4 linked regions of the Styela clava genome follow. The protein of the gene in region 2 binds, or shares a complex with, the protein of the main gene of each other region. Links are inferred from orthologs where the notes say so. Each region holds a gene or a part of one and is shown on either strand. Other genes may lie near its edges. The genes, in order: DNA primase small subunit-like, DNA polymerase alpha subunit B-like, DNA primase large subunit-like and DNA polymerase alpha catalytic subunit-like.

The links.
Region 1: DNA polymerase alpha subunit B-like (region 2) and DNA primase small subunit-like share a complex: the UniProt entries of both Drosophila melanogaster proteins name them as parts of the alpha DNA polymerase complex. The link is inferred for Styela clava from reciprocal best matches to the Drosophila melanogaster genes PolA2 and Prim1.
Region 3: DNA polymerase alpha subunit B-like (region 2) and DNA primase large subunit-like share a complex: the UniProt entries of both Drosophila melanogaster proteins name them as parts of the alpha DNA polymerase complex. The link is inferred for Styela clava from reciprocal best matches to the Drosophila melanogaster genes PolA2 and Prim2.
Region 4: DNA polymerase alpha subunit B-like (region 2) and DNA polymerase alpha catalytic subunit-like share a complex: the UniProt entries of both Drosophila melanogaster proteins name them as parts of the alpha DNA polymerase complex. The link is inferred for Styela clava from reciprocal best matches to the Drosophila melanogaster genes PolA2 and PolA1.

The regions. Positions count from the first base shown.
Region 1 is NC_135258.1:14,386,589-14,393,904, forward strand, and holds DNA primase small subunit-like, read left to right. Parts: upstream 1-4,865; 5' UTR 4,866-4,869; coding exon 4,870-6,177; 3' UTR 6,178-6,799; downstream 6,800-7,316. Other genes in the region: uncharacterized protein LOC120339549, read left to right, coding at 1-42, 449-1,453; thymidylate synthase-like, read left to right, coding at 3,291-4,298; large ribosomal subunit protein mL48-like, read left to right, coding at 6,808-6,951. UniProt on the Drosophila melanogaster protein: Catalytic subunit of the DNA primase complex and component of the DNA polymerase alpha complex (also known as the alpha DNA polymerase-primase complex) which play an essential role in the initiation of DNA synthesis.
Region 2 is NC_135264.1:10,461,611-10,469,095, forward strand, and holds the start of DNA polymerase alpha subunit B-like, read left to right. Parts: upstream 1-4,471; 5' UTR 4,472-4,707; coding exon 4,708-4,792; intron 4,793-4,875; coding exon 4,876-4,997; intron 4,998-5,291; coding exon 5,292-5,581; intron 5,582-6,169; coding exon 6,170-6,360; intron 6,361-7,053; coding exon 7,054-7,313; intron 7,314-7,485. Other genes in the region: lysophosphatidic acid phosphatase type 6-like, read left to right, coding at 417-912, 1,610-1,770, 2,083-2,282, 2,559-2,952. UniProt on the Drosophila melanogaster protein: Accessory subunit of the DNA polymerase alpha complex (also known as the alpha DNA polymerase-primase complex) which plays an essential role in the initiation of DNA synthesis.
Region 3 is NC_135261.1:19,112,267-19,119,348, reverse strand, and holds DNA primase large subunit-like, read left to right. Parts: upstream 1-4,171; 5' UTR 4,172-4,243; coding exon 4,244-5,788; 3' UTR 5,789-6,562; downstream 6,563-7,082. UniProt on the Drosophila melanogaster protein: Regulatory subunit of the DNA primase complex and component of the DNA polymerase alpha complex (also known as the alpha DNA polymerase-primase complex) which play an essential role in the initiation of DNA synthesis.
Region 4 is NC_135256.1:23,488,869-23,495,766, reverse strand, and holds the start of DNA polymerase alpha catalytic subunit-like, read right to left. Parts: upstream 3,028-6,898; 5' UTR 2,899-3,027; intron 1,358-2,898; 5' UTR 1,283-1,357; coding exon 1,234-1,282; intron 1,018-1,233; coding exon 908-1,017; intron 1-907. Other genes in the region: ubiquitin carboxyl-terminal hydrolase 15-like, read right to left, coding at 4,694-4,918, 6,425-6,632, 6,770-6,898. UniProt on the Drosophila melanogaster protein: Catalytic subunit of the DNA polymerase alpha complex (also known as the alpha DNA polymerase-primase complex) which plays an essential role in the initiation of DNA synthesis.

The sequences.
Region 1 (7,316 bases), on a different chromosome or scaffold from region 2:
AGCATAGGATCAACAAATATAAAAGCGATGGATATTTACCAGGTCAGTCAATTATATATATTATCGGACACGAAATAGACTCATGGCCGTTTTGCCTAATAGTTGTTGTTTTTCTTGCTGAGGCTGTGTCTTATTTTTAGTGTTATGATAAATTGACATTCTTAGCAAGTAATAGACCTATCAAATTTTCATTGCTTGAAGACGAAAAGAGTCGCCAATGCTTCTGATTTAGCTTATGGATGGCGTTGAGAATTTAGTGTCTGGCGTGCGGCAAAGATGAATAGAAACATAGACGTCGCTCAGCGAAACTTTGGTCAAAGATTTATGTCATATTCCACCTTTTTTTGAATATTAGTGTCGGGTATCGGCATTATATGAAATGGCGGCTAATCTGTGCAACCCATAGCGGCTTCAGAGGTTAGAGCATAATTTTTTTTTATATATTCAGAGCGTGTTTCAGTGCTGTGGTGCCAAATCTCCAAAAGACTGGATTCAAGTCGATAAGGAAAACGGAATCGTCTACGATTGGATCCCCCAGTCATGCTGTATTAACTCTTCGGACTGCTCGATATCTCCAAGAAACGTAATTCTTGATGTTTCTTCTACTGCTATCTCAATGACTACGGCCAATCCTGGCATGGGCACCTCAATTCCGTTTTCCCTTGGAAACGATGCTACATTTGATTTTGTTCAAACCCAGATTTACGATAGGGGATGTGACACTGCTATTCAATCTTTCCTAACCTTACACAGTTTGTTGCTATTTGCATCAGCATTCATACTGATTTTATTGCACACATCCTGGGTTATTTGGCGCCGAAATGCTGGACTTCCGTACCTATGTTGTGAATTCAATCGTAGAAAAAATCGAGTTCTACCTATTCATCTCGAAGTTAACGGTAGTCCGACGAGTTCAAATGAAAGCCTATTTTTCTTGCAAAATAAGCTCATAAACAACATCAGCAGCAGTGAAAGCTTTCAACTCATTAATGTCCCAGAGAGTTCGGAGAGTAACCACATAGTTATGAAAAAGCCTGGACCACCGTCAATAACGCGAGTAGGACAGGATATAGCAATTTCTCCCTTAGAAAATCTTCGTTCATCTTTCACTAATAAGGATGAAACGAAATACAGGCCACGCACGTCGAGAGCAAGGCCAAAAACAGGCATTAGTCGATCTGCAGGAAACTTGCCACGTAATGTTTCAAGGATGCTTGAGGAAACTATGTCAGGACATCGACCGCCAACGCCTGCTAAATTGCCTCAACAAGTGATGGTAGTTCATGGTGATAATGAAGATGCTGACACTTTCGAACCTGCTCATTTCTCTGGGCCTGCTTCAAGCAAAGACACATGGGCAACGGCTGTCAATGTTGAAGTTCCCAACACCAAGCGACAAAATGACGACGACAAGCTTTCGATTTATAGCATTGACAGCCTCGAAGGATGGTAAACCATGCCTCATATCTTATATAGCGGGCGCTACCACGCGATGCGGTGCTGAATTTACTTGTTTTTATTTAATGATATTACTCGCATAATAAATAAAAAAATTCATTGGAAAAGCATATAATTTTACTTACAAAATGGGCAGGTTATAAGAAAAATAAATTTCCTTGATCGCTAAAAACCTGCATCATCAATTTCCATCCAGCACTCGTTTATCTAATAAGTGCTTAATTACTAAAGTTATCACTTCTTACTCCAACAGCGGTTGACCCGTTGTTTCTTTCGTGTAGATCAGAGGTGACGAACCTGCGGCCCACGAAGCATTCTGGCAATTCAGTGTATGTTTGGAGTAAAGTCACAAACCTCCATGAACTGTACAGAGAGAATGGGAGCGCAAGTGTTACCGTATTCATATTACTGGCAACAACACTATTTCCAACACATCTATTTTTTTGGATCATCGATACCTCTAACAATGGATCAAAATGACCATTGTCGTAGCATAGTTACGCTCTCTTATCGGCAAACGCATACGGTTTAATAGAGAAGGAGTAATCTCACTTTATGAAAATGCTCAATGAATAAAACAATGGTAGAAAGTACATGGTACAGTACATTAAAAATTGATTTTGCAATAATACGCAGGTAGTAAACTCAAACTTTCGTGTTAAAAATGCTGTGGTATTCGAAAGGGAATTTGGATCTGGAACATCCGAGCCGAGCGTTTATATTGCATTATATAATTGAATAACATCAGCTGTATTGATGCCGTTGTTCGTTTAGTAGATGAAAATCAACAGGTATCATACGGTAGTACGACTATAAATTGTGCGGCCCGCTCACTCAGCGGTGACTGATAAAGTGGCCCGCTACAGCAAATTGGTTCGTCACCCCTGGTGTAGATTCTCTTCTCCATCTGCCTTGCATATTTTCCTTCACTTTCATCTCACTTTTGGTTCTATTTCCATTTCATGTATGTAGGCTACTTTAAATACTAATACCACGTGTCACATATTCAGAATCCTATATTTATACAAACATGGCATATAATCATAATAATCTTGGCACATTTTTATCAAGTTCTAAAATCCAGATTGTTGAATTATAAAATATATACCTGTTTCGACGGGAACTTAGCAGTGACATATTCTATTTAAGAATGGCGCAGTTTGTTCTTTTCTCTTTTTTACTTTGATTAATCATCGTAAGGATGTCGCATAGCTTGTAATAGATTAGTATAGTATTTTCTGAAAGTGCGAGACTTTTTTAGAAGAAGTATACTATCCAGATGAGGCTGGGCCATTTCAAAAATAGCATTTTCGTAGGACATGGCGCGTGGCAAACCCCATACTTCAACGTTCGAGACGAATGTGAAGAATTGATTAAAATATTGAGCATTGAACGTTAGATCCTATTATGAAGAATATAAGGTATTCGTATTTCACAAATTGAATAATCGTCCATACACTAATCGGATAAATTAGATTTTCAACATTGCTTGTAAACAACGTTTTCGTAGTTTGGAGGAGAGGGATGAGATTTTTAATTATATTTGCTATACTGGTCTTATGACAAATGATGATTTTGAAAAAGCTAATCAGTTTATATTTAAAAAATTATGTAAAAACTCCCAATATAAGCAAAAATATCGCACTAGTAAGTTACGCCTAAATGTCAAATTGACGAAATAAAACAAACCAGTCGCCGGAGCGCGAACGTGATGTGAGTATGTGAAAGGGTAGTTTGAGTTTCTTCGCGCGCTTTTACAGTCTTAGGAATTAGGATTCTAGATTCGTCAGGTAATTCTGTGAATCAATAATCTTTTACGGTAGAACTGTAGTATGGAAAATCAGCCACCTGTTTCTTCGCAAATGATGCCCATGGAAGTAGCACCAGAAGAAATCCGCAAACATGGTACCGGTACGCCTCTCGCACAAATCAATCCAAATTGCCCTAGCAAATGTACAGAAACGACATCAGAAGAACAACACGGCGAGTATGAATACCTCAACTTATGCAGAAGGATATTGTCTAAGGGTAAAATAAAGGGAGATAGAACCGGCACAGGAACAATATCTTTGTTTGGTGCTCAAATGCGTTATGACTTGAGAGAAAGTTTCCCGTTGTTGACCACCAAACGTGTCTTTTGGAAAGGTGTTCTAGAAGAATTACTTTGGTTTATAAGAGGCAGCACCAATGGAAATGAATTATCTTCTAAAGGAGTTCGAATATGGGATGCCAACGGCTCTCGTGAGTTTCTCGATAAATTGGGATTTCATGATCGTGAAGTTGGAGATCTGGGACCTGTTTATGGGTTTCAATGGAGACATTTTGGCGCTGAATATGTTGACATGAACACTGATTATACTGGGAAAGGTGTTGATCAGCTTTCTCAAGTAATAGAAACAATTAAAAAGGATCCAGACAACAGGAGAATTATGATGTGTGCCTGGAATGTTACAGACATACCAAAAATGGCCTTGCCTCCATGTCATGCAATGTGCCAGTTTTATGTGTGTGATGGAGAACTATCATGCCAACTTTATCAGAGATCAGCAGATATGGGGCTTGGTGTGCCTTTCAATATCGCTAGCTATTCCCTTCTTACATACATGATCGCTCATATTACAGGCTTAAAACCTGGCGATTTCGTACACACAATAGGAGATGCTCATGTATACAGCAATCATGTTGAACCTCTCAATGAACAGTTAAAACGTGTACCTCGACCATTTCCACTTCTTAAAATAAAAAGACAAATATCAAATATTGATGATTTCAAATATGAAGATTTTGAGCTGGTAAACTATAAACCTCATGGCAAAATTGCAATGAAAATGGCTGTTTGACCAAGGCACACTTGCTAAAGAGTCTTAGACATACACGAGCTATTTGGTGTCAGCACGAACAAGATTATGAACATTTATTTACTATAAATATTTCAGAAACTGCTTACCTATTAAATAATGCAGATATCTGAATAGATTATTTGATAAGTATAGAATGGCCATCCACGATTTTCAGTTGTACACCAGGGTTTTATATTTGTACCATACAATTTTGTACAATACAAAAATGTGTAATCTAAATATGGTTAGATAATCTAAAAATTGACTTTTTAGTCTTGGTACAAAAAATAATACAATCATGTAACTAAATCATGGAAATGTTAAGAAGTGAAGCTGTAAACCAATCATACCAATTTAGGATGCAAAATAAGCACTTCTTCTGTTAGAGCTTTGTAGCCCAAACTTGAAAGTGTTTATTGTACATTCCAGATATACACATTCCTTGCCGCAAGTGGTTATTTATGTCATGTATAGTTTTTGTTGTTATTGTGTCTATTTATCAGTTTACAATTTGTATATTGTTCTTTTTTCAGTATAAAAACACCAAATTTGAATATTCTCTAAACTGGTTATGTCTGAAGAAAAGGAAATCGAAGTTAAAAAAGAAACAACAAATCAAGAGGAATTTGCTTATGACGCATCAAGTCTACCAAGCTTGCTTCCAATTTATTATAAACTCTTGTTTCCTTATGGGCCGTTCTATTCTTGGTTGAGTTACGGAGGTCTCAATAAAACTACATTTTCAAACCGGGAATTTTCGTTCACTTTACAGAATGATATTTATGTTCGATACCAATCTTTTACAAGTCAGCAAGAAATGGAGAAAGAAATCCAGAAAATGAAACCTCACAAAATTGACATTGGAGCCATATTTTCCCATCCACCAAAAGATCATAATAAATATCATAGCGGCATTTTTAAACCTCTAGAAAAAGAACTTGTGTTTGACATTGATATGACTGATTACGATGACGTTAGAAAATGTTGTCAAGGAGCTGATATTTGTACAAAATGTTGGCCTCTTATGACAATGGCTATTAAATTGATTGATAGAGCCCTGAGAGAGGATTTTGGATTCATGCATCGACTGTGGATATATTCTGGTAGACGTGGAGTCCATTGCTGGGTATGTGACGACAAAGTACGAAAATTGCCGAATAAAGCAAGATCTGCGATCGTGGACTACTTGAGTGTGATTCAAGGTGGTAATTTGGAGAAAAGAGTTAATCTTAAAGATCCAGTCCACCCGTTTTTAAGACATTGTATAACCACAATATCGAAGCAGCATTGGGAGGAATACCGACAGGCACAAGAAATTCTTGAAACCCCTTCAGACGTTGAAAAAGTACTAAAAATGGTTCCTGATGCTGAAATGAAGGAAAAATTGAAAACGGAATTTAATAACGATAATCGTACAACTGAAACTAGATGGGAAAGAATAAGAAAAGCCACTGCTGAAAGATATCAAGAAGACATGAAAAAATATCGTAAGCTTCGTTACACGCCACAAGAAATTATGCTAGAATTTTGTTATCCTCGTCTCGATGCCAACGTCAGCACAAGTATTAATCACTTGTTAAAGAGTCCTTTTTCTGTTCATCCTAAAACCGGACGTGTTTGTGTACCAATTGATATAGATAGCGTTGATGATTTCGACCCTTTTGCTGTCCCGACTATCAGCCAACTTTGCCACGAGTTAGACTCACAAAAAGCAGAAAAAACAGAAGACAATTCTGACGGTTCCACTAGAAAGATCCACCTTTATAAAACAACAAGTATCAAAAAACACGTCAAGATTTTTGAAGATTTCGTTAACAAATTATTAGCAGATAGCCGTAAGGAAAAACTTAATCAGAAAGATGCAACAATGGATTTTTGATTGTTTTTATATTGAAACTGATTATTCTCAATCATAATTTTTGTTAGCTAGCAAATTGTTAGCGGACAGTCGTAAGGAAATACCTAATCAGAAAGATTTATATGAACTTTAGATTGTTGTTCGCGTTGACACTGTTTATTCTCAATCATAACTTTTGGTATCTGGATTTGACATGTTGGTAAATTGTAAACAATGTGCTGCTGCAGGTTTTGTTAATATTGGTTTCATTTAGGAAAGAACACTAGGGCTCTAATCAACTTGATAGACCTAATTTTAGCACCCGAACCTCAGAAACACTGCCGATTGGTCATTAGGAAGATATAGTACTGACCATTCAATAACTCCGTGTGGCCTAAAGCATAAAAATTGACCCAGACAAAATAAGCCCCAACCCCTACAAAGCTTCTTGGTAGAATTTTCCCCGGAGACCACCAAAAAATAGAAGATCCCAATTACTTAGTTGTTTAATATTATTTAAAATATGTCAATTTAGCTATAAAATACATATTTTGTAACTCTTTCCACACAATATAGTAAAAATTGTCTATATCCCCATTGGGTGGTTGTCGTGTTTCTAATTGCATAACAATACTGTAAATAATTTTTCACTTTTTTCCTTAGATTTTAAATATGACTTCTAGAATTTCTTATACAATTTTACGTGGAATTTGTAGCAGAGGTTTATGTACAAGTGCTGCACGTCTTGGTTTTCTTCCACATGATCTTTTAAGAAGTGATATGCTCAGTTTGAGCGGCCTTGTCAAGCAAAAAAAGGTAAATTTGAAATGCCTATATACCTTACGCTAGGACAGCGCTGTCTGTGAAAATGCACAGTAGAGGGAAATCAAATTTTGAAAATGAATACTTGACGTATTGATTTCTATTATACGTTATTGACTCTGGAGAAAAATAATGATTTCAGCTCTACGGCGACATGTTATTAATAGGAATTGATTTACGTGTTCGAATCCCATTCAGGGATAGTTAAGTGCGATAGGATTCTTGGACTTCTCACCGCCGTAGGGTTATTCACGCTACCACTGGTCGGTTACGGCTTCCTCCACGATCAGGTCCATGCTTCCAAAAACAAACAACTGACTACTGATCAAATTGAAAAGCCTTTATCCAATCAATTTTGC
Region 2 (7,485 bases):
ATAATGTACGGTATTAACCAGAAGGGATTGCTGCTTGTTACTGTATAACTAGGTTACGGTATCGGTGCACTCTGACACCAAGAACTCGAACTTATTTACCAACCACACCTGCAAACTCTGCACTATTCAGCTATTGGCAACGTCCTGCAGTGCTTGTACATGCATTCAAACGGCATCGTTATTTTCCCATTTTATTCTGTCATCTTAATCTCATCAGATGAGATAGTTTTTCAAATGCACATATCTGTATATTGGAAATAATGCCTAAAAACTTGAGCACGATTTTAGAACAATATTATTGTATTTTAAGCAAGCGCTTCATTAGGATAGGGAAAATTTTTTAATGGTCACTTTCAGTAACAATCGATACTCTTAATTGCATCTCATGCAGTCATTAATTACAAATATACAGCGTTATGAATTTAACGAAAATAGTTTTGGGTGCTTCTGCTGCTGTTTCATGTGCTGTGGTTGGATATCAGGGCAAAAAGCTAGTGGCCGCACAAAAAGAATATGAATTGGTTCATGTCCAAGTTATATTCCGTCATGGAGCAAGGACACCATTACATATACCATCGTACATTCCTACAGTACGATACGATGAAAGCTTACTAGAACATGCTTCAAAAACCGTCATCCCTTACGAATTAGTAACCTTCTCCTCCAGTCTTCCTGAGAGTCCATTTGAAGAATCGTACAAGCACAGGGGTAAATTGGAAGGGGGCTGTTTGCCTGGTCAATTGACCCATGTCGGAGCAGACCAGATGTATCAATTGGGACTGTATCTTAAAAAACGTTACTTGGAAGATGAAAGGTTTTTGTCTTCATCATACTCAGGCCTGTTAAACGAAATTTACACCAGATCTACAAATATTGAAAGGACAATTATGTCTGCAAGATGTGTTCTGGCAGGTAAATACGATTCTGTACATTTGGATATAAAATTGTGTGGCACCTAAGTAATCTTTGTTAAAAGTCTTTTTCCATTTATGATTTATTGTATTTGAATAACCCAAAAGTATATAAAAGTATAAGACGGACAAACTTGGTTTCATTCAAAAATACAGCTAATATAATTTAATAGTCAATTCAATGTTGTAGAATTATAATGATTTTACTGCTTTTTATGAATGTTCTATTCCATGACTCTCTTGCATTGTTGAAACACTTTAAAAATTTCGGGGTAAAAAATAGCTTTAATTTTTTTATGTGCTTTTAGTTAAAAAAAAAACAAGCCAGTTTTGGCTTCAAAGTGGCGAGTGGAGCGGTCAAGCCCACCTTTTCATACATCCAACTTGGTCCAATCTGGAATCAGGAGACTCTTATTATAATCAGCTTCGCGATATCCTTCAACGAATTTATTTTTTACATTTCACACCTTCACACCTGTTTACTAATTTGGTATTTAATTTGGCAATTTTCTACAAAAATATTAATACAAGGAGGCAGGTTTTTTTTTCATTTATGTGTGTAGTTATCTTTCATTTCTTACTTTTTCTATTGTAATTTTATATAATGTCGCTGTGGTTGTATGTATACATACATGCAAAGAGTTGCAACTTCGCACACATGTATGCACAATTTAATATCTTTTGTTTTTTTATCACAGGGATATTTTCAGGTAAATCTGGAAGCGATGTTCTTCAAATTCATGTCACACCACCAAATGAAGAAATAATGTATCCAAATTATTATACCTGTCACTATCTGCGTCTTCTAACAAGATGGGCATGGTCACATCCTGAGAAAATACCTGGCGTATCTGCAATCGTAAGTTGGAAATGGCTATGTCTTTTCGTATAATTTTTCAATTATCTAGCATTGGAAAACTTTTGAAAATAAAATAACACAACTGTTATATAAGGCAGTATTAGAACCTTGTTACATATGAGTTATAAATCTTAATTGTGAAATGACCCTTTGTTAAGTTTTTGACAATTAAAAACATCAAATTTTATATTTATTTTGTGGGTGATTTTTGCAACCAAATATTTAGAATTTTGGAAGACTATACAGGACAGGCCTAATCCCTAGTTTGATGATGAACATGGCATTTTTACATGAATTTTGTTTTGTTTGAAGCAAGAAATGGTTCGAAAACCTCTAAGTATTTCCGATAAAGACACAGCTGATTTGGTATCGATAAGAGACAATATTGCTGTTGAAGAAGCTCATAACAAGCCATCTGTTGGAAGCAAACTTAGCTTGAAAACACGAGATATAGTGGAAGAAGGTGCAATGAAAATCATGCATACTGCGTTTGTTGGAGAAGAGAATGTCAGGTAGACGATTTAAATATTGGCCTCATCCACCAATAATAGGTAATGATGTGTTGTTTTTATTGATTTCCCACATTGTTCACATGGTATGGCTTTTCTTATCAATTACAAACAATGGCTTTTATGTGATGACTGATAAAATCTGAAACTGCGGCCTTTTGCAACTGTGTAACTTTCGATTGTATTTCTATTCATGGGTAATTTGAAACGCTTGTAAGCTTGAAACGGTATGGTAACTTATTTAGAGTGGAAAATTCTTATTTAATTACTTTCCAACAGGGAAAGATCTTTGAAGCTGGCGATTGGGCCTTTTGTCGATATATTAATGAACAACATAGAAGTGAGGTCAGAGGGCAAAGACTCATCGAATATCAAAATGCATCTTTATTCTGGCCACGACACAACCTTGATACCGCTACTTAGTGCTCTTGGTATAAGGTATGCTCATTGGCCACCATATGCTGGAAATGTTATCATCGAGTTGCATCGCAAAAATAATGCTTCAGGAAAAGAACCAAGTTACTTTGTTCGGATGCTGTACAATGGAGAAGAACAGCCTGTTGGACGATGGATGAAGTATATGTGTCCCCTGAAAGAATTTCAGGATTCTGTGGGCGATATTCGTATTGCTTATGAAGACTATTCAAAGCAATGCATGAAAACTGAAGATTGAAGTTCATCAAATTATCATGTTTTCTCAACTTATTCATAGCATAATAATTTATTTGTTATATTGGGTTATATGCAATTATTTCTTGCTGATTTATCCACTTTATCTATATACCCATGTCACTGCGATTCATACTTTTAAGGAACAAATTAATTTTTGCTTAATTTACACACTCTCACCATACCTGTTGTAATTTGCTCATTTTATGAAACAAAATATACGAATTTATCGACAATAACATGGTACATCATCATATATTATATACAATCAGCACAAGATTTGCCTGAGATTTTGCTTTTTTCAGTTTGCACACTAGGATGTCGTTTAAACTGCGGGACAGAAAAGGAAGATCCATAAGTTGGCCTAATCGCGGGTTTTGGCCGCTGTTTCAAATATGTAGGGCATTAGATGTTATGGATTGCCCAGGGGTGAGCACGGTTTTTGGATCAGGGGCCAAATTTTGTCCACCTAGACTGGCGGGCCATGTAGGTATGATCTAAAATGTTACATTTTATGAACAGTGTTACAAAAGCAACAATGGAAAGCGATAAGCCTCGTGCCAAAACTAAATTTAACCGCAATCTCAACAAATTCCCTGGGCAATTTTCAACTAAAACATCAACATTTGGTTAAGGCAGCATCAGGCGGGCGATTTCGGCCCGCGAGCCGTCTGAACTACGATGATTGAACCTCCTACATGACGAAGTGTATACGTATACGTACCACTTCTGTTGACAACGCCGTTAAATTTGCAGGTTTTAAACATCCAGGCATCGTTTTTTAGAACACATTAATTAAATGCGATTAATTCGTTTATCGACTGTTATTAGTCTGTTCGTTAATTAGTTTGTTTACTCAATATACATGGTGCATGAAATAAGTGAATGTAATTCGATAAAAGCAAAACCAGGTTTTGCCGTTTTGTTTGCTCTTCTATAATCATTTATAGGTGTTTTACGTTTTTGTTTGTTTTTCCCGTTCATGGAGTCAAATAAATTGATACCTATAGGCTACCTATATAACACGATAATACTTTCATCTTTCAAATGAAAAGTTGACAAGAACAGTGCGACGGTGCGGGTGGCATTATTAAGATTCATTCAATCATGGAGACCGATGCCCAACGCTGTCAGATGAGTTCATATTTATTCACTCATCATAGCAATGTCTGATTCTATATTAGTTTCATAAATTAGCATGGCCGCCGGCCGAAAGATATATACGTGTATGCATGGGGTGAGCGTATTTAGTGGAACAGCCTTTCTGAAAAGGTTTCAATTACCAGAACCGATTTATTATAGGAATTTTTAATTTACATTCTGCAGTATCAGTTACTGAACTTTATTCCCATCTTGTATGCAAGATAGCTAACCCTCTGCGACGTAAAAATCAATACGCGCCAGGGCATCAGAAATTTTGTATTAAATTTATTTGTATTTACTTTGAAAAAATTAGGGTATAGACGTAAAAACTTCGCTCTGACTGAATTTCTAATTGGGAAATGTATAAACTTATGTATAAACTTACCGATTGTGCCATCTCGAGCTCGTTGAGGATCTGGCAACACTGTTGAGTTGAGTCGACGCACCTCATTCTTTCTTGTTTTCCCGCCTTTGGGTCCGCAGTGCACAGGCATATGGGTCGGCGTGGCGATGGTTATGGTTTGTTTTATCTCTTGACTGCTTCATGTTGAAGTTAGTGGTTTGTTGAAAGTGTAGCGGTTGGGCAAAACATTCCCCAATACTCCGACTTTAAATTATGGCTGACACAACAGCAGATGACGTGAAAGAGAGCTTGTCTATATTTGATATAAACGTTCAAGATGATGGCACATTAGAAAAAAGTGAGTGAAATTCTAAAGAATATTTTTTGTTTAATTGCCATCAACGACGCTGTTTAATGTGTTTATCGATTTTCTTATCCCAGTGCTTGAAATTGCAACATTGTTCAACTATGATGCAGATTCAATCGTAAATGAATGGCTGGCTTATCAAAGTACACATGGATGTAAGCTGAGCATTGAAAATCTTGATAAACTTCTTCTTGAGGTATTACTTTGTTAAGTAGGCTATGTTTATGGTAGTCTGCTTGCTGTTGAGTTATTTATCATGTAAATATCTATATTACTGTATTATGGTCAAGATTAAATTTTAGATTAGGTTAATAAAACTGCATTAATTTGTACCGTACTCACTCAAAAGACTGCGAGCAGCATTGTACTGTTGTAGATTGTTGAATTCATTGTCCCCTTTTTTTTTTTATCTGAATCAATTTAAAAAAAAAATTTATTGAACGAGTAATTTTAAACAAATTTTTTTCAGTAATATATTTTGTTTCTCAAGAAAACAGTTGGGAAAAATCGTTCAAAGAACAGTTCGACACCTGCATCCAATCGGAAACGAAACCCTTTGGTATTATACACTGCGGATAATATTGCGTCATTGCACGATAGTTCAACTTCAGAAGATGTAGAGGAAAATGATTTATTAAGCGCTTACGGAACTCCAAATCGAGTCAATACTAAACAAAAACGAACTCAAAATATGACACCAAAATCTGCCATTAAGACGAAGCCTACTGATAATATTTCAGCGAGTCCAGCTGTATTTTCGCCCTCTTCATTCTCACCTGGGTAAATATTCTCAAATCTGTATCATACAAAGAATGCTTTATACTGGTGATCAGACAAGGCTTTAAACTTATACCCACCTCAAATCTGAGTCATATAAAATATGACCCTGCCTCTCGATTTTGATTGGCAAAAATTTTGACTCACGACTTTGAATACGATAAAGACCTATTGTTTTCCACTTTTGCTTTTGTAACACTGTAAATATTAGTAATAAAATGTAACTTTTTTACGTCACACTTACATAGCCCGCCAGTCTAGGTGGGCAAAAGGCAAAAGTTTTGACCCCTGGCCCCCAAATCGTCCCCCACCCTGCTTTATCTACTAACAAGACACAACCCCGACTACTACAGCATAGGTTAAGACCGAATTTTTCTGGCATGGTTATTGAATTCCTATGTAATTCACTTGCATCATCGGCACAGATTCAATACTATTCTAATCAGTCAAAATTTATTGATCCCTATATTGAGGAGATAAAATAATGATAAAAGTTGACCTCTCATTCAAATCTCCTAAGGATTTGAGTTGGTGTCTTGCAAAGTATTCTTACTTGCATGGCTCTGATTAATTCCTTATTTTTTATTCCAGCTCAACCTCGTCACAGAAGTATACGAGTCGGAGTAACTCCGGTAGTGTTTTGGATAGTTTTGGTCCGAGTCACGAGTCCATAACAAACCATAGAGGAACGGGAAGACAAATATCCATTGTCGTGGACAAAAAACGCAATATTAGTAAACCATATAAATATATGTTCCAGAAATTGGTGGATTTGTCTGATGGTAAATATATTTACAGAATTCATTGTAACCTATTTGAGTGAGTTCATTTTTCAACTCTGTGGTTTGAAGCATAAGTCGCAAGTGAGCATCTTATATGAACAAATTATTTGGTCATTTTGCGATTGAGCATCTTATATAAACAAATTATTTTGGTCGTTTATGAGTGAGAGTGCATTACTCAGCTTGGAGATTAGTTTTCTTACATTTGTGTGATTGTCAGTAAATTTGCTCAAAGATGAGTCTTCTTCACTTCTGAGTGAGTGCCTGTAACTTTGCCCACAAATGGGTCTTCTCTTTTTCTGAGTGAGTGCACATGAGTAAATTGCCTTGTATATAAATGATCCACTTTTAAGTCAGCTCAGTCAGCCTCAATACATGCTGGTTGGGCGTTACAAAAGTGGTAGAATAATGCGGATGGCTCTCAAATGATTTGTCTCGGAAATTGTTTTAATTTTTGAGATGATTCAATGTCAACCTCAACGTTCGTGAGAGTGGACTGACTTTTTGTATGTATTGTCTGTCCTAGTCTGACAACGTACACAACATGGATGCTCTGTGTTTATATAGTTTGTAAAATATTCTGTATTTTCAGAACGTATTTGGAACAGCAATTTATTTGCTTTTTTTGCCTTCTCTGCAATGCCACAGTATTTATACTCCGATAATTCTATTTTTCTATTTATATAATTTCAGTTTTGGACGAAATGATAGAAAATGCTGCTGAAACTATACAATCGCAAAACTCTTCTGAAATAGATGTTTATTCACCATGTTCAATGCATTCCCAAGAACCTGTTCATATCGTCGGAAGAATCTGCTGCGATTCTAGCGGAGGTGTAGGAAGGTTGAATTCGCAGTCTGTTTTATTACAAGGTGATAGAGGAATTTCAAGCGGAAAATATGTTGCGATTGATTTGAGCCAATTAGAAGAGTTTTCTTTATTTCCAGGACAGGCAAGTGTTTTTTCCCATATTTGTTCTGAGGGAGTCACTAGACAAGCTCTGATGTGGAGTCTACTCGCAAGGAAAAATTGTGCTGCCCGCGGAGAAGTGCCAATTTTGAATGGTCTGCGGCTCGTGAAACGAGTATTTACTTTAGTTTAATCTGATACGATTGGCTTGTGTG
Region 3 (7,082 bases), on a different chromosome or scaffold from region 2:
TCAAGTCAAAAAAGTCAACATTGAGGTGCTAGTTGGTCAGTTAACTGCAGTGGATGGTCTTACATTTAATCAAATTGCCAAAAGTGAGAGGCTACATCAAGCGTTCAAAACTGATGGTTATACGCTGCCCAAATCACACAAACGTGTTCGTAGTCTGGTGATGGAAAACTTTGAAACCGTCAAGAAATTAGTCAAGGAAGAGTTTTGTGCAACCAAACTGAATAATGGTCGTTTTTCCATAACATTTGATGTTACAACATCCGCAAGAAATCGTCGTTACATGAACATTAATTGTCATTTTCAAGGTGGCTTTCATTCGCTGGGATTGATTCGCATCCACGGCAGCATGGACACACAAAAAGCAATCGACTTAGTTGGTAATCGACTAAACTCCTTTGGTCTCGACCTGAATACAGCTATTGTTTCCACAATCACTGATGGTGCTAGTTTGATGGTAAAATTTGGAAAAGAGACGGGTCCACTCCATGTGATCTGCTTTGCTCACGCGATTCATTTGGCCGTTTGTGACGTGTTATACAAAAGGCAACCGGTCGCAGTATGCTCTGATGAACTTGACTGTCACAGTGACAGTTCAGACGAAGATGACAACGACTCAGAACAACGCGAGGATTTCGGATTTTCTTTAACTTTATCTCCCAACCTTGACACATTGATCAAGAAAGTCAGAAACATCGTGAAAATATTCAGAAGGTCGCCTGTGAAAAATGATGATGCTCTTCAACCATTTGTCTTGAAGTCTTTTGGAAAGGAAATTACACTACTGCTCGACTACAAAACCCGATGGAACAGTTTGCTCTCAATGCTAGAGAGATTCTATCAGCTACGAAAAGAGGTAAAATTGGCTCTAGTTCGACTGGATATTGATTTTGACTTATCTGAAAATGACATGAAAATTATCGAGGGACTGTGTGATGCTCTTGCTCCCATAAAAGTTGCGTTACACTCTCCAGTGAAGATGCAGACATTCTTTTAGCAGAAAAAGTAATTGCATTTACTTTAAAGAAGCTTGGTGATCAGAAAACTGGAATCAGCCAGGCATTAAAAGACCGGTTCAAAGCACGAATTGAAGAACGGCGGAATGCTGAGTTGGTCCATCTATTGAAATATTTAAAAAGTCCGTCTTATCTTGATCAAGTTCAGGATCAATTTGGGCACAGAGTAAAGCGGCCCAGAATTGCTGCTCTGGCCATGGGCATCTTGCAGAGATTATTTCCTCAAGAGGCTTACAATGCGGGCTACATTGTGCATATTGATGTTGACAGTGAAATTCTTGACGAAGAAAAGAAAATGACTTTAGCAGAGTAATCCACAGTTTTGTGGAAGATGACGAAGTAGAAGACAGGCGACCTGGCAACCTGAGCTCTAGTGTAATTCAAAAAGAGATGGTACTGTATGAAACAAGCAAAAAGAGACCTGAAAACCTTGAAAAGTTGTACGCTGCCCTAAAAACAATTAAACCCACGTCCGTCGAGGCAGAAAGAGCGTTTTCTGCCCTTGGATTTTTCGCAAACAAAATAAGAAGTCGTATGAACGATAACACCCTAGATGCTTTAATATTTCTGCGTCGATATTACATGAAATAAATATGTGATTTTATTGTGATGCAACTTGTTTCAATCTTTTACTCAATCCCGAAAAAATCCCGGGATTTTACGGCTCAATCCCGGGGTATCCCGATACCATGATTTCAAAAACTAGTCCCTAAATCCCAACCCTAGCCAGAAAGATGAACGTTCGTGTTTTTATCCTTATTTATATGTTTGTTTGTGTAATATGTTTGAACTGGCATATGTATTTCCACATGTTTCATCCCTTTCTAGAGGTTTTTGCCAGTTTTCCCAATCTTCTTCATTGTTTTGTGTATGTTTTTTAGGCATGTTATGTATCGCCGAAATCAAAATAAACTTATAAAACAGAGCGAGAAATATCTACAGATTTTTTCTTGGGTTAAGGGTCAGGTAAACAACAACCATAGTTTGCGCGGGAAAGATTCTCACTAATATGAAGTCACAGCAGTGACGCAGAATTCAAGAATTTGTGATAAGAGTTAGGTACGGTACCGGTACTGTATCTTATTTATTATAATGTGTAATTATTGTAATGTGCGAACTAAATGGTGCGAAAACCCATCTCTAATGTCTGTATGTATTTCAGTAATTACTTGGTGGTGGAGGAAGCCGTAACCGACCAGCGGTTACGTGAACCACCCAACGACGGCGAGCAGTCCAGCAATCCTCTCGCACATAACCATCCCTGCATGGGATTCGAACCTGCGAACCCACGCAGAGTAATTAGAGGTGCGGTGGCGAGCGTATTCCTAACGCTTAGCCCGTTGAGCCACACCGCCGCGCCTGTACCGTACAGACATAATATTTTCAACACACAGAGTTTCTCTGAAATTATTAAAATGCATGATATAGTCTATGCATTATATAAAGCCTAAGTTAGAATAGTTTATTCAGGTGTATCCATTTCCCGATTTCTTAAAAATGCCAATCTAATGATTATTTGTCCTACTGTCCTATGTGTATGGAAGTCATGAGTCCAGATGACTAGATGAAGTCATTTTTTCTATAGACCTGTAGATCCTACTGCCCTGTGACGGTTCAACTGTAAAGAATTCACTATTTACAGAAATTAAGGTATCAGGAACTTATCAATTTTTAATAAATGAGGCTGAGCTGCCGAGAGTTGAAGTTTACTGTAGTAAATTTCACTTTACTGCTTTACCACACTGACTATTGTATAATGCTGTTTTTGTATAATCTCACTAATGTTTCATCAATAGTCTGATAGCACACAATGAGTTTGTCGGTAAAATTATAGGGTCTAGTATAGTTAAGTACCACAAGTACTTCCAGTGGGCGTAGCATAACGATTTTTGCATATGTTATTCCTAACTCTCACCTGACTATGCCATCCATTACGTCACCATCACGTCATAGGGATTGCCAAAGTATAATTACGATCGCCCGAAATGGAATCTGCGCCGCCGATAAGAACTTGCTAAAGCCGGCGATCTCTCTCCTATCGTGATCGTTGCGACGAGAAAACGAGAGAAATCGCTTGCTCGATTTCGGGTTATCGTCTGCGCGTTTTGGACGACCATCCGCATACTTCGATGGGCCTTATTACGCCACTGTGACGTCGGAATGACGTAATTTTTCGGTGACGTAGTCAGGTGGGGGTTAGGATTGACATATGCAAAAATTGTTGAGCCAGGCCAACTAGAAGTCGATGTGGTACTAAACTATACCAGACCCAACTTATAGACCAAACATTGGTAAACCCAATGGGACAAGAGAGAGAGTTTATTATTTTTGTTTTGATTGGGAGATGGCGATACGGCCAAAGGTCATCAAAGTCAGCCACCACCCATTCCAGCCAAATACGGCTGTTTCAGTACAGCACACTATCCAAATTCCAAGAATTTCCCTCCATTTGGCTCAATAAAACAAACCTCTGTGTCTCACAAACGAGGGGCGTCTGGGACTACGTCAGATGTTTCATATCGCGCCATGCTTGTCTCAATAATAATCTAAATTAATCGCGGCTGTCACATGACCAAAATTGCCGTTTTTTGCTAAAAACTCTCGAATGCTTCGGTAAAAAAATTTTTTCTTTGGTAAATCGGATTATTTGTTCCCAAAGAATTCAATGCTGACGTTACTAGATTGCGCTTTTTTGTAGTATTTTGCGCAACTTCGTTATACTGTATTATTACCAATATTGAGGGACGGGATGTTACCCGATTTGTATAGTGTGCCGTTTTGTGTTTGGGTAATACAATCTGGCCCACCTGATGCTGCTAAACTAAACTACAGAACTAACACCAAAGTTTGATGTTGAAGGTAAAAAATAGATCAAAGAATTTGTTTGGATTGCGTTTAAATTTAGTTTTGAGACGAGGCTTATTGTTTTCCACTTTTGCTTTTGTAACACTGTAAATATTATTCATAAAATGTAACTTTTGTGTCACACTTACATGGCCCAGGTCCAAAAACCTTGCCCACTGCTGTTATAGACCCTTATCCTATGCACATTTTATCCATAATATTCAGAGTGAGTCCAGTTAAAAATGTGAATTGCTTAATTGAGCAAGGCAATAATGAACTATACCAACCCAAATGGATTTTAGTTAAAGTTAATTGAATGCCATAATGGTTGCTTGTTTTTCAGTTTTTGTATTTATTGTAATAGCAGTTTCTTCAAAACCTAAAAAATGCAGTTTGGTGGAACACCCAAACCATCTGCTTCTAGAAGAAAGCGACTTCGATTGGCGGATGGCTTATCTGATGACCTTTACCCTCACGGTTTAATGATGTATAACAGACCACCAATGTGCAACATCACCCTCCAAGAATTTGAATCATTTGCATATGATAGAGTAAAAGTTTTGCACTATTTGGATTCATTAGGAGTGTCTTATGTCAAAAATAGTCCAGATTACTGCCAAAAACTTGGAGACTATTTAAGAAAAAATTATGTTGGGTTTACATTAACATCTGAGCCATCGAAAGATACAGAAGAAAGGAATTTAGAATGGCGTCGTAAGGATCACATTTCCCACTTTATTCTCAGACTGGCGTATTGTCGTTCCGATGAACTTCGTCGTTGGTTTTTGGAAAAAGAGGTGGATTTATTCAAATATCGATTTAATTGTGAATCAACGTCAAGTATCAAACAATTTTTAATGTTGAATGATATGACTTATTATCCAATCTCAGAGGAGGAAAAAGAAAAGTTTTCTGCGCATCTAAAATTGATATCCTACGATATGACTCAGTCTAAGGTCCAGTCAACTAACTTTTATAAAGTTCCTTTCACTGATGTTTTGAATCTTGTATCATCACGTCGTGTGTTTATCAACTCAGGTTATGCCTATGTTCCACAGTCAGAGTTGATATCCATCATTAGCACACGTTTTCGTGAACACCTATCTAAAGCTTTAGCTCAGACTTCAAGATCACTACCTGAGTTAGAAGAGGATGATAGACTCTTGCCTATACTTAGGGGATTCAATAAAAACACTCTTGCTGAAGCATACGATCCAAACAAAAATGCTGGCAAAGTATCTATCAAGCAAATTGATGAATTATCTAAAATCTCATTTCCATTATGTATGCGGCAATTGCATCAAGTTTTGCGTGAGACTCATCATCATAAGCACTGGGCTCGTTTGCAGTATGGACTTTTCTTAAAGGGCATAGGTGTTACTCTTGAGGAATCAATTAAATTCTGGAAAGCTGAATTTAGTAAAGGAGTTGGGGAAGAAAAATTCAACAAAGAGTATTCCTATAATTTCCGACATATGTTTGGTCGTGAAGGTAAAAGAACAAATTATGCTCCTTATGGTTGCATGAATATTATAATGAAAAATGTACCAGCACCTGGTGAACACCACGGTTGCCCTTTCAAACACTCATCTCCAGAACTCTTAAAACAACGCCTCCATCACTATAAAATACCAAAAGACTCAATTGACGAGATCATTAAACTAATGAAAAGCCAGCATTATCAAATTGCTTGTACAAAATACTATGAGGTGACACACAAAGTTGATGAAGCAGGTTTTCAACTTAACCATCCAAACCAATACTTTGATGAAAGTCAAATGCTCTTGAAAGGTGAGAAAAAGACCACCGGGCTGAAACCTAGTCAAGGAAATGCAGAATTTACTCCGAAGTGGTCACAACCAGTTCCTGAATCTCAAACTGAAGAATCAGAAATGGAATTGGATGCCCTAATGACAGAAGTTGATGTTTAAACTGCTGGAAATAATATTACAGCCAATATTAATTGATGTTTATTTATCAATATGTTAAATCATACTTTATATTTCTCAACATATTTTGTGCAGCAAACTATGGTGTGAATGTATGACCAACCGTGAGCCACAGGTTCAAGTCATGATCATGAATGGCCCAGGATTGCAATTCTGGAATATGTAAATTACAATTTATATGATTAAAGGAGAACAACTGTTTTTTCTATTGTCACTGATGTTTAGACTCTGTAGTTTATAGACATTGGGAAGGTTTGAAGTTGAGTATATGAGAAATTCACATGTTATTGTGGCTTGTGCTAATGGAACTTTATTTGCATCCTTTAAAACAGGGGTAGGCAAATTACAGCCCGTTGGCCAGATCTGACCCACTTGTCTGCTGAAATTATGATTATAGTCTTTATAAATATATGTTTCTGTTGAGAATATCGATGATAATCACGTCATAATGACCCCGATCGTTCAATTGTGCTCATTATAAAAACGTTAGCAAAGTTGTTGGACTAGCTGTTGTGAATAAACGGTTTTTCATTCATAGTTTTTTTCATATATATGGACATATTGAGCCTCCAGCTCAGTACTGAAGCCTATTATCTGTAACTTGCCCATCAAGAAAAGTTAATTGCCTACCCCTGCTTTAAAAGAATATTCAATGATAAAATGCGATGTATTTTTGCAGTTTACCTAATACTATATTGCTGAAAAATATGACAAACAGTTTAAATATGGCATGCTAACTTTCAAGTTGGTCAGAAATCATGTGTCTTGAGAACGCTTCATTAGACAAACAATAGACAATAAGTTTATTTCGTCGTGCAATTAGTATGGATGCTAACCGCTGAGACAGCTATGCCTTTGAAGTGATTTGTGACACATGCCACAGGTTATTCATTTTACTAGTTTATACAACCTGATATAAACATATTCCATCATAGCTAATTTTATCGAATTACGTACGTTTCCCTAAAAAATAAAACCAACGTTTTTTGCGCTTGTTGGCGCTTTCGTTCTCTCGCATGAACTTGTAGGATACAGAATTTTCGACGCTCTATAAGTATAATAAGTATAAGTTTATTTCGACTCCATAATCAGCATAACAATACATTTGACAGATAAAAACAAATAAATAAAAACTGATTATGAAATCAGGGGAGCAAACAAAACCTTAGATAAGGTTTATAACGTACAAAATATAAGATGGAAGGTTTTGCCAAGAGGAAGTGGTACGTGTTTACTCACCTAAAATTATTAAGTTATTTCACACACGCTCACATGC
Region 4 (6,898 bases), on a different chromosome or scaffold from region 2:
ATATATTGCCGAACCACACATGGACGACGACGCTAGGATATGTGCGCCATATTCGGGATTATTATAAACACGAAAAAACAGTATTTGAATTTAAATTCGATTTGGACATCCCTGCATTAAATTAGTCAGTTTTTAGTTGTGTTTCCAAAAATTAGTTGTAAATCAATTATTTTAATTGTCATTATGTCTTCCGGTGAGCTTCAGTTTAGTTTAGAATTTTTCTGAGGTTAGGGTCGGGAAAAGGTCCATTCGCAAGAAGTGCATTTTGTTTTTAGTCTTGACGAATTCACCCAACGAGCAAGGCGCGGCACGAATGAAACACTGGAATTTATTCAAGCCGTGTTTCATTATCCACGAGGCGCAAAGCGAGGGAAACGTTGAAAATAATTAACAGCTTTTCGTTAGCAATTCGCTAGAATGTAATGAACGACGTTTTGCTACCCACGAGGTGCAAGACATAACGAAGCGCCGTTAATGAACGAGTGCAAAGTAAGCGAAAGGCTGGGATTTAATCGATGGCGTTTCCCTTTTAACCATGAGCAATTTATCGTGGTCAGCGGGCCGACACCTAGTGGCGTTGCGACTTACGTCGTGGTTGCACTGTGTAAATTCCGGTCGGACCCCCCCGTTGAAAACAGCCTGGTTGCGCCACTGGTTACAACACAGATAATTTCTAAAAAATCAAGTGGCAGTGGTGGCTATATTATTAAAAATTTTAGGTGAACATTGAGGTTATGGTCCATACTATCGAAAATTTGAAAGCAATTAGTTCGTTTGATACATAAAAATGAATTTTGTCAGCGACAACAGTTTATCAAAATTGGTTAACTTTGGATCCATTCCATAAATATATATATTTAATTATCAATGAATAATATTTCACACAAAATTCAACAGAATCATTTACTTCATATTTTAGTCGTTCTCCTTTATTTTTTGCAGCTTTCAGTTTTTCTAACATCGCTTTTCTACCAGTTTTATCTTTGCGTTCTCTTCTAGACCTGGTTGATGCAAGCCCTGTAATTTATTTAATTTTTGAAATAATAATTTTGTTAATAAGAATAGATAAGCAAATTAATTCTTTCTGAGAATAACCAAGCTGACTTGAACCTCATTTATTGAAACAAATTCTTGACAACATGGGACATTATTCCAGTTGTACAGATTCAAATAAGACCATAATTTAGCTTCTTGATTGCCAAATTTGTATATAGACATTTGTAGCAATTTTACCCTGCGTGGATGACCCATTATCCTCAGCATCATCATTGGCAGAAGACATTTTATAGAGTTTATTTCTTCAGGCAATCTTTTCACATTGATTTAATGTGGATGCGTTACATGTGCTTCAATTTTTCTGTAAAATAAATTTAATTTCAAACAGTGGAAAAACACAGCCACATCCCAAGCAAAGGTACATTGCACAGCGGAATGCAGATATATCAGATGCTTCACTATGCTGATATTTGACATAAACTAATATGGAGATATCTGATGACAAAGCTTGAAAGTAAAAACTAAGGGCTTTGTTCTCATAATAGGGCTAGATATTGAATAAAATATATTTGCTATACTGGATGCAAGAAGAGTATTGCACACTATACAGATCGAGAGACATTGTCTCGTTCCAGAGAATCCCATTTTGCCGATCTCTATTCAGGGACTTCTGGACATTGTTGTCCCTCGATATCAGTAAAAATACAGTAAAATGAAGTTGCACAAAAAACTACAAAGGAGCGCAATCTAAAAACGTCATCATTGAATTCCTCAGGAAAAAATAATCCGATTTACAGAAGGAAAGAAATTTCTACCGTGGCATTCAAGAGCTTTTAGCAAAAAACGACAATTTTGGTCAGGTCAGCATGTGACAGCCGCGATTAATTTAGATTTTAGACTATTATCGAGGCAAGCATGGCGCGATATTACGCATCTGCCGTTGTGCCAGATGCCCCAACAAGCCAGACACTTTGTAGACTATAAAATATTCCTCTATCTCAGTATCTCTCTATCAACAGTCCGAGATGAAAATTCATTAACATACAACAGGATGGCACACTATACAGATCGAGCGACTTTATCTCGTTTCAGAGAAACCCATTTTACCAATGATCAGACACCCCTTCTTTGGGAGGCGTCTGGACATTGTTGTTCCTCAATATCGGTAAAAATACAGTATAATGAATCGTGACATTCAAAAGTTTTTAGCAAAAACAGCAATTTTGATCATGTACGGCATTGAGACAAACATGACATGATATGAAGCATCTGACGTGGTGTCAGACGCCCCTCATTTGTGAGACACATGGAATGTTTGTTTTACTGAACCAGATGGAAGGAAATTCACAGAATTTAGATAGTGTGCCGTACAGTACAATGAAATACAGAAATATAACCAACATCGTTCAACTTCTTACAGTCTTTATTTTGAGCAGACATAACTTATGAGTTACATTAATTAGTTAACCAATAGATGTAACTTAGGAGATACATTTTAAAGTGCATCATATAAAAAAATTGAAAATGAATCAAATCATTGTCAGATCAGCAGATTGTTCATCCACAAATCTGTCAGATTTTGCTTTTTGCTGCATTTCCAAATTCAAAATCGTCTGCTCCTTAAATACATTGGATCGATCCTAAGATTATTCGGTTTGAGCTGCAATACAGCAACAGTACGCTATTATTTCCAGATTTCCAAAAAGCCATACCGGTACCATAAATCTAAGCTATGAATGTCAAATGTTCTGAACTTCATAATATTCCAAATAACCAGACAACGTTACAGGCAGACAGGGTTGCGCTATACCCGTACGCGGTATATCAGCCCTATTGCTAATTAGTAGCCTATACCTAATTATAATGTTATCAAATTAAAAAAATATCGAAGTTATACTGTACCTGGGAATCGGAGAATTCCTGCCTCTAAAACACCTGCAGCACGTTTTACGTTGGAGGTAAAATGGCGGGAAAGCACATTTTGCCCTTTTCCACGCTGTCGCGGTCCAGTGGTTTTGTAAGAGATTTCCACATCGCGTGCAGCAGTTTGTGACTTTATCTTGTTTTTTTCTCCTTTGCAAATTTTTAAAATCGTTCGACACTAAGCGTGTTGTCAACTACGGTTGACTTCACGGCCAATCTCATTCAGGCAGTTTCACTACCTTGATCTGAAAAGACGCTTGTATACAACCTATAACCAGTGGTGAACTGTCAAATTTTTCGTCATTCTGTTGCAAACAGAACATGGACAGCAACCAGTAATGCTAACCGGTTAGCTGATAAAATTCCGTGAGACGATTCTCCAAAACCGATGCGAATCGTCTGAATTCCACCACTGCCTATAACATCGTTTGGGCACTCTCGCAATTGCCTTTAAACTGTTGCTAAATATGAAAACGACAACTTCTACTGTAATTTCTCTTTATTTCGCATACTCATATATAAGAATAATTAATTGAAATGATATACATATGTGATCCTTATAAATAGGCATGAAACCAAAACATTGCATCAGCAAAATCAATTTATATTTATCCAATTTACATTTTCTACCAGAGGTATGAGAAAAATGAATAATCTGGTCACACAACTATTCCTCTGGTTACAAGTGGAATCTATGACATTCAATCACGAGGTTCAGAAATTATCTCTTTCTGAAAAAATTGGAAGAACCTGGTCAAATATCAACAAGATTGCCCATAAATTAAGTTCTGCATATTCTCATGAACATTTTAATCACAAGATAATACAGGAGGTAAAGACAATGAATGAAGCAGAAGTAGACAATACAGGAACATAAGCAAGAAAAAAACATGCAGGCCAGAAGGGTACAATAAAAATTATGAAATATAAATCATAGTGGCTATAAACCAATTGAGATTTCAATACCATGGCATTACCAATTATATTGCTATTCTATATTTGTGTGGCTATAAACCAATTGAGATTTCAATACCATGGAATTAACAATTATATTGCTATTCTATATTTGTACAAATAATCAATGAAGAATAAATGAGCTCTATGATATTGTAGATGAGCAGAGTAACCTATTTCAACCTCAAAATAAAAAAAGTGTATCTTTTGATATAAGTAATTGGAACCAAATTGAACTCACGAGATAATGACGAAATATAGAAATACATATCGATAAAAGAACTTTCCAAAATAATCAGTCAATCAGATCAAACTAAATATGATAAGTAGATTCGTTCACAAACAGGTCGTCGCATACAAGATATTCCTGTTCAGCTGTGACTAACGAGGTCATGCTAACAAGGATGCTACCCAGAGCATCTACTTAAAATATGTCAAAGATGATGCAATAATTTCAGTGGTCATTTTGTTACCCCAAAAGTTTTAGTTAAGTTGCAGTGGCCGTGGATTACCGGTAGTCCCTAAAAAGTTGCGGTAGGCCAAGATAACATTAGCTTCCATAACTTTTAAATTGCAGATAAATAAATATCTTGAATAAAAAGATACATAATGAGGCATGAATTAACAAGATATTTCATCGGGGATCAAATACAAAGAATGACATTGCTTAAGCAATTTTTCATTTGTAATTTCTCTACATGTTATTTTAAGGAAAGCGATACAATACCAAATTTTCTAATCTTTTGAAAAATAAAGTCGTCAAAATTATTTATGTGCTTTACAAAAACTTTGCGTGCAAAAAATGACATTCAGTTCATAATCAACTGGTATCCATTTCTTCCTCACCACAGTTAGATAAATTTGAATCATTTCCGTTGAGTAGTTGCTCTCTCTTTTTCTCACTCATGTTAAAATCGAATCCTCGAACGTGGCAGCTCCTTGGACTCACCATTGATTCCAAGAAATTGAAATCATCATCTCCTTCTTTGTTAACCCATTCCTCAATGTCTTGTCTCTGATACATCAACATATAAGCAGCTTTTGTCTGTTGAAAAATGATGAATCACGTTTATAAATTTCTATGCAGTTTCATTCATCTGTGTCATCTCATAAGAAACAAAATGAATTTGACCAAATTTGTATCTCTATAGAACTCAAACCATGTCGCGGGCCACTTTTTGAAATTTATTGACCATGCGGGCCGTAAACCAAGAAATAAGGTACAAAAATGGATATCTGAATGTATCGTGTTAAAATTACACTTGAATCGTACAGCAAACGATACATAAAACATATGCATTTACTTGTGCTGGATATTTGGTTCCGATTAATGGCCTTATTTTGCGGTGTTTTGCTAGTCTCAGGACAGCATGCAAATGCTCGTCCATTAGTCGTGTGCGGAGTGCTGACTTGCTAACTTTCATAGTTGAAAAATTACTTGCAAATATAAGAACTGCCAAACGTTGCAGTTATGTAACGTGGATGTGCAATTAGCTTTGCAAACCTTTCTTCGGGCAAAATGGACTGACCGAAACTCGTTTATTTCCTCACGATGAACATGCGAAATGAAATTAGTGTAATCATACACTCTATATACACTACAGGTATCTCTATATTTGTCCCGCCATAGAGATCATCGCTGACTAATATAAAAATATTCCAGGACAAAAGATGTTAATATGAGGGCCCGACCGATATATCAGCCATGTTTTTTCATAAATTTCGAACTATCCGTATCGGCTGGCTAATTTTACCGATATATATCGGCCAATCATGTGACTGCCAAGGTGTCAAAATTACGCAGGGAAAGCAGTTTTATCGCTTGTTTCATTGAGAGTGGTTCTGCCTAATACTCTTTTTCTTCGTTAATTCTATTTCTTTCTTATCAAAAAGCGGCTTTTGACTGCGTCTCTCTTATCCAAAACGGACGTGGTGGCTTGCAAATTGAAGCGAGAGAAACGTGTGCACATCCTATTTGTGTCAAATAATAATACAAGTTCGTTCAAGGCGCGATTTAACTTCTTGTATTGATATGTTGTAGACGGCTGGTTCTAGCGGTGAGAGCAAAAGCAAAGTATGGTAATACTTTGTGTGCCATAATGATGGCGTAATTTGTAAAATATGCTTATCATTATTAAGTCGAAGGGTACCGCCGATTTAAAAAAAAAGATGAGTATAAGTATAACTTGTAGAGCCATCTCAAAGCAAAACACAAGAGCAAGTATGATTGGAGCCAATGCAGAAAAGCATAGGAGCCAATGCAGAAAAACTCTGCTCAACTACATCTGAGACTGTTGAACTGGAGCTTCTGAGATTCATAAGTTTCCTGCCCTTACAATAAATGTTCTTTCTTGCCACGCACACAATTGCATGAGTTCAAAATTTCATTTCTTTTGCAAGAAAAACACAATATTCTCAGATTGTTGCTTGTTAATTTGTAGGTGAGGAAACATCGGTATCGGCCTATTTTCAGAAAACTATCGGTATCTGTTCAAAAAGGCACTATCGGTCGGGCCCTATTAACGCCATGTAATAGTATTGAATGACATACCTTGACTTTGTCTTCGGAGCTTTCAGTAACACTACTGTCATCAAAATAATACCATTTTCCATCTTTATAATTACGACAATATGCAGTATAATGTCCGCCTCCCATACCCCCATAATGATTTGATACACCAATCAGATTATATCTCTTCTTTTGTTCATGCCACTTGCTCTTAGCAGGGTTGATAATGAAATCAGACAAATCTAGATCTCTACATCAAAGGAATAAAATAAAAATCATCATTCAGACACCTAAGGCCATTATTTTCAATCGATCATAGCAGAACTGAATTAAGATCACTGTGAAGTGTTAACAAAAACTGTGCATTATGAACAATATAAGTCTAACCTTGTTGGAAAATCAACATATGTTCCTATTTTATCTCTCGACCAACGTGTGTATGAAAACCTTTTCAAATGAATAATGAGAACGGGTGGTAATGTCCATAAATCAAACTTCTTTGTTGCTTGCTTGTGG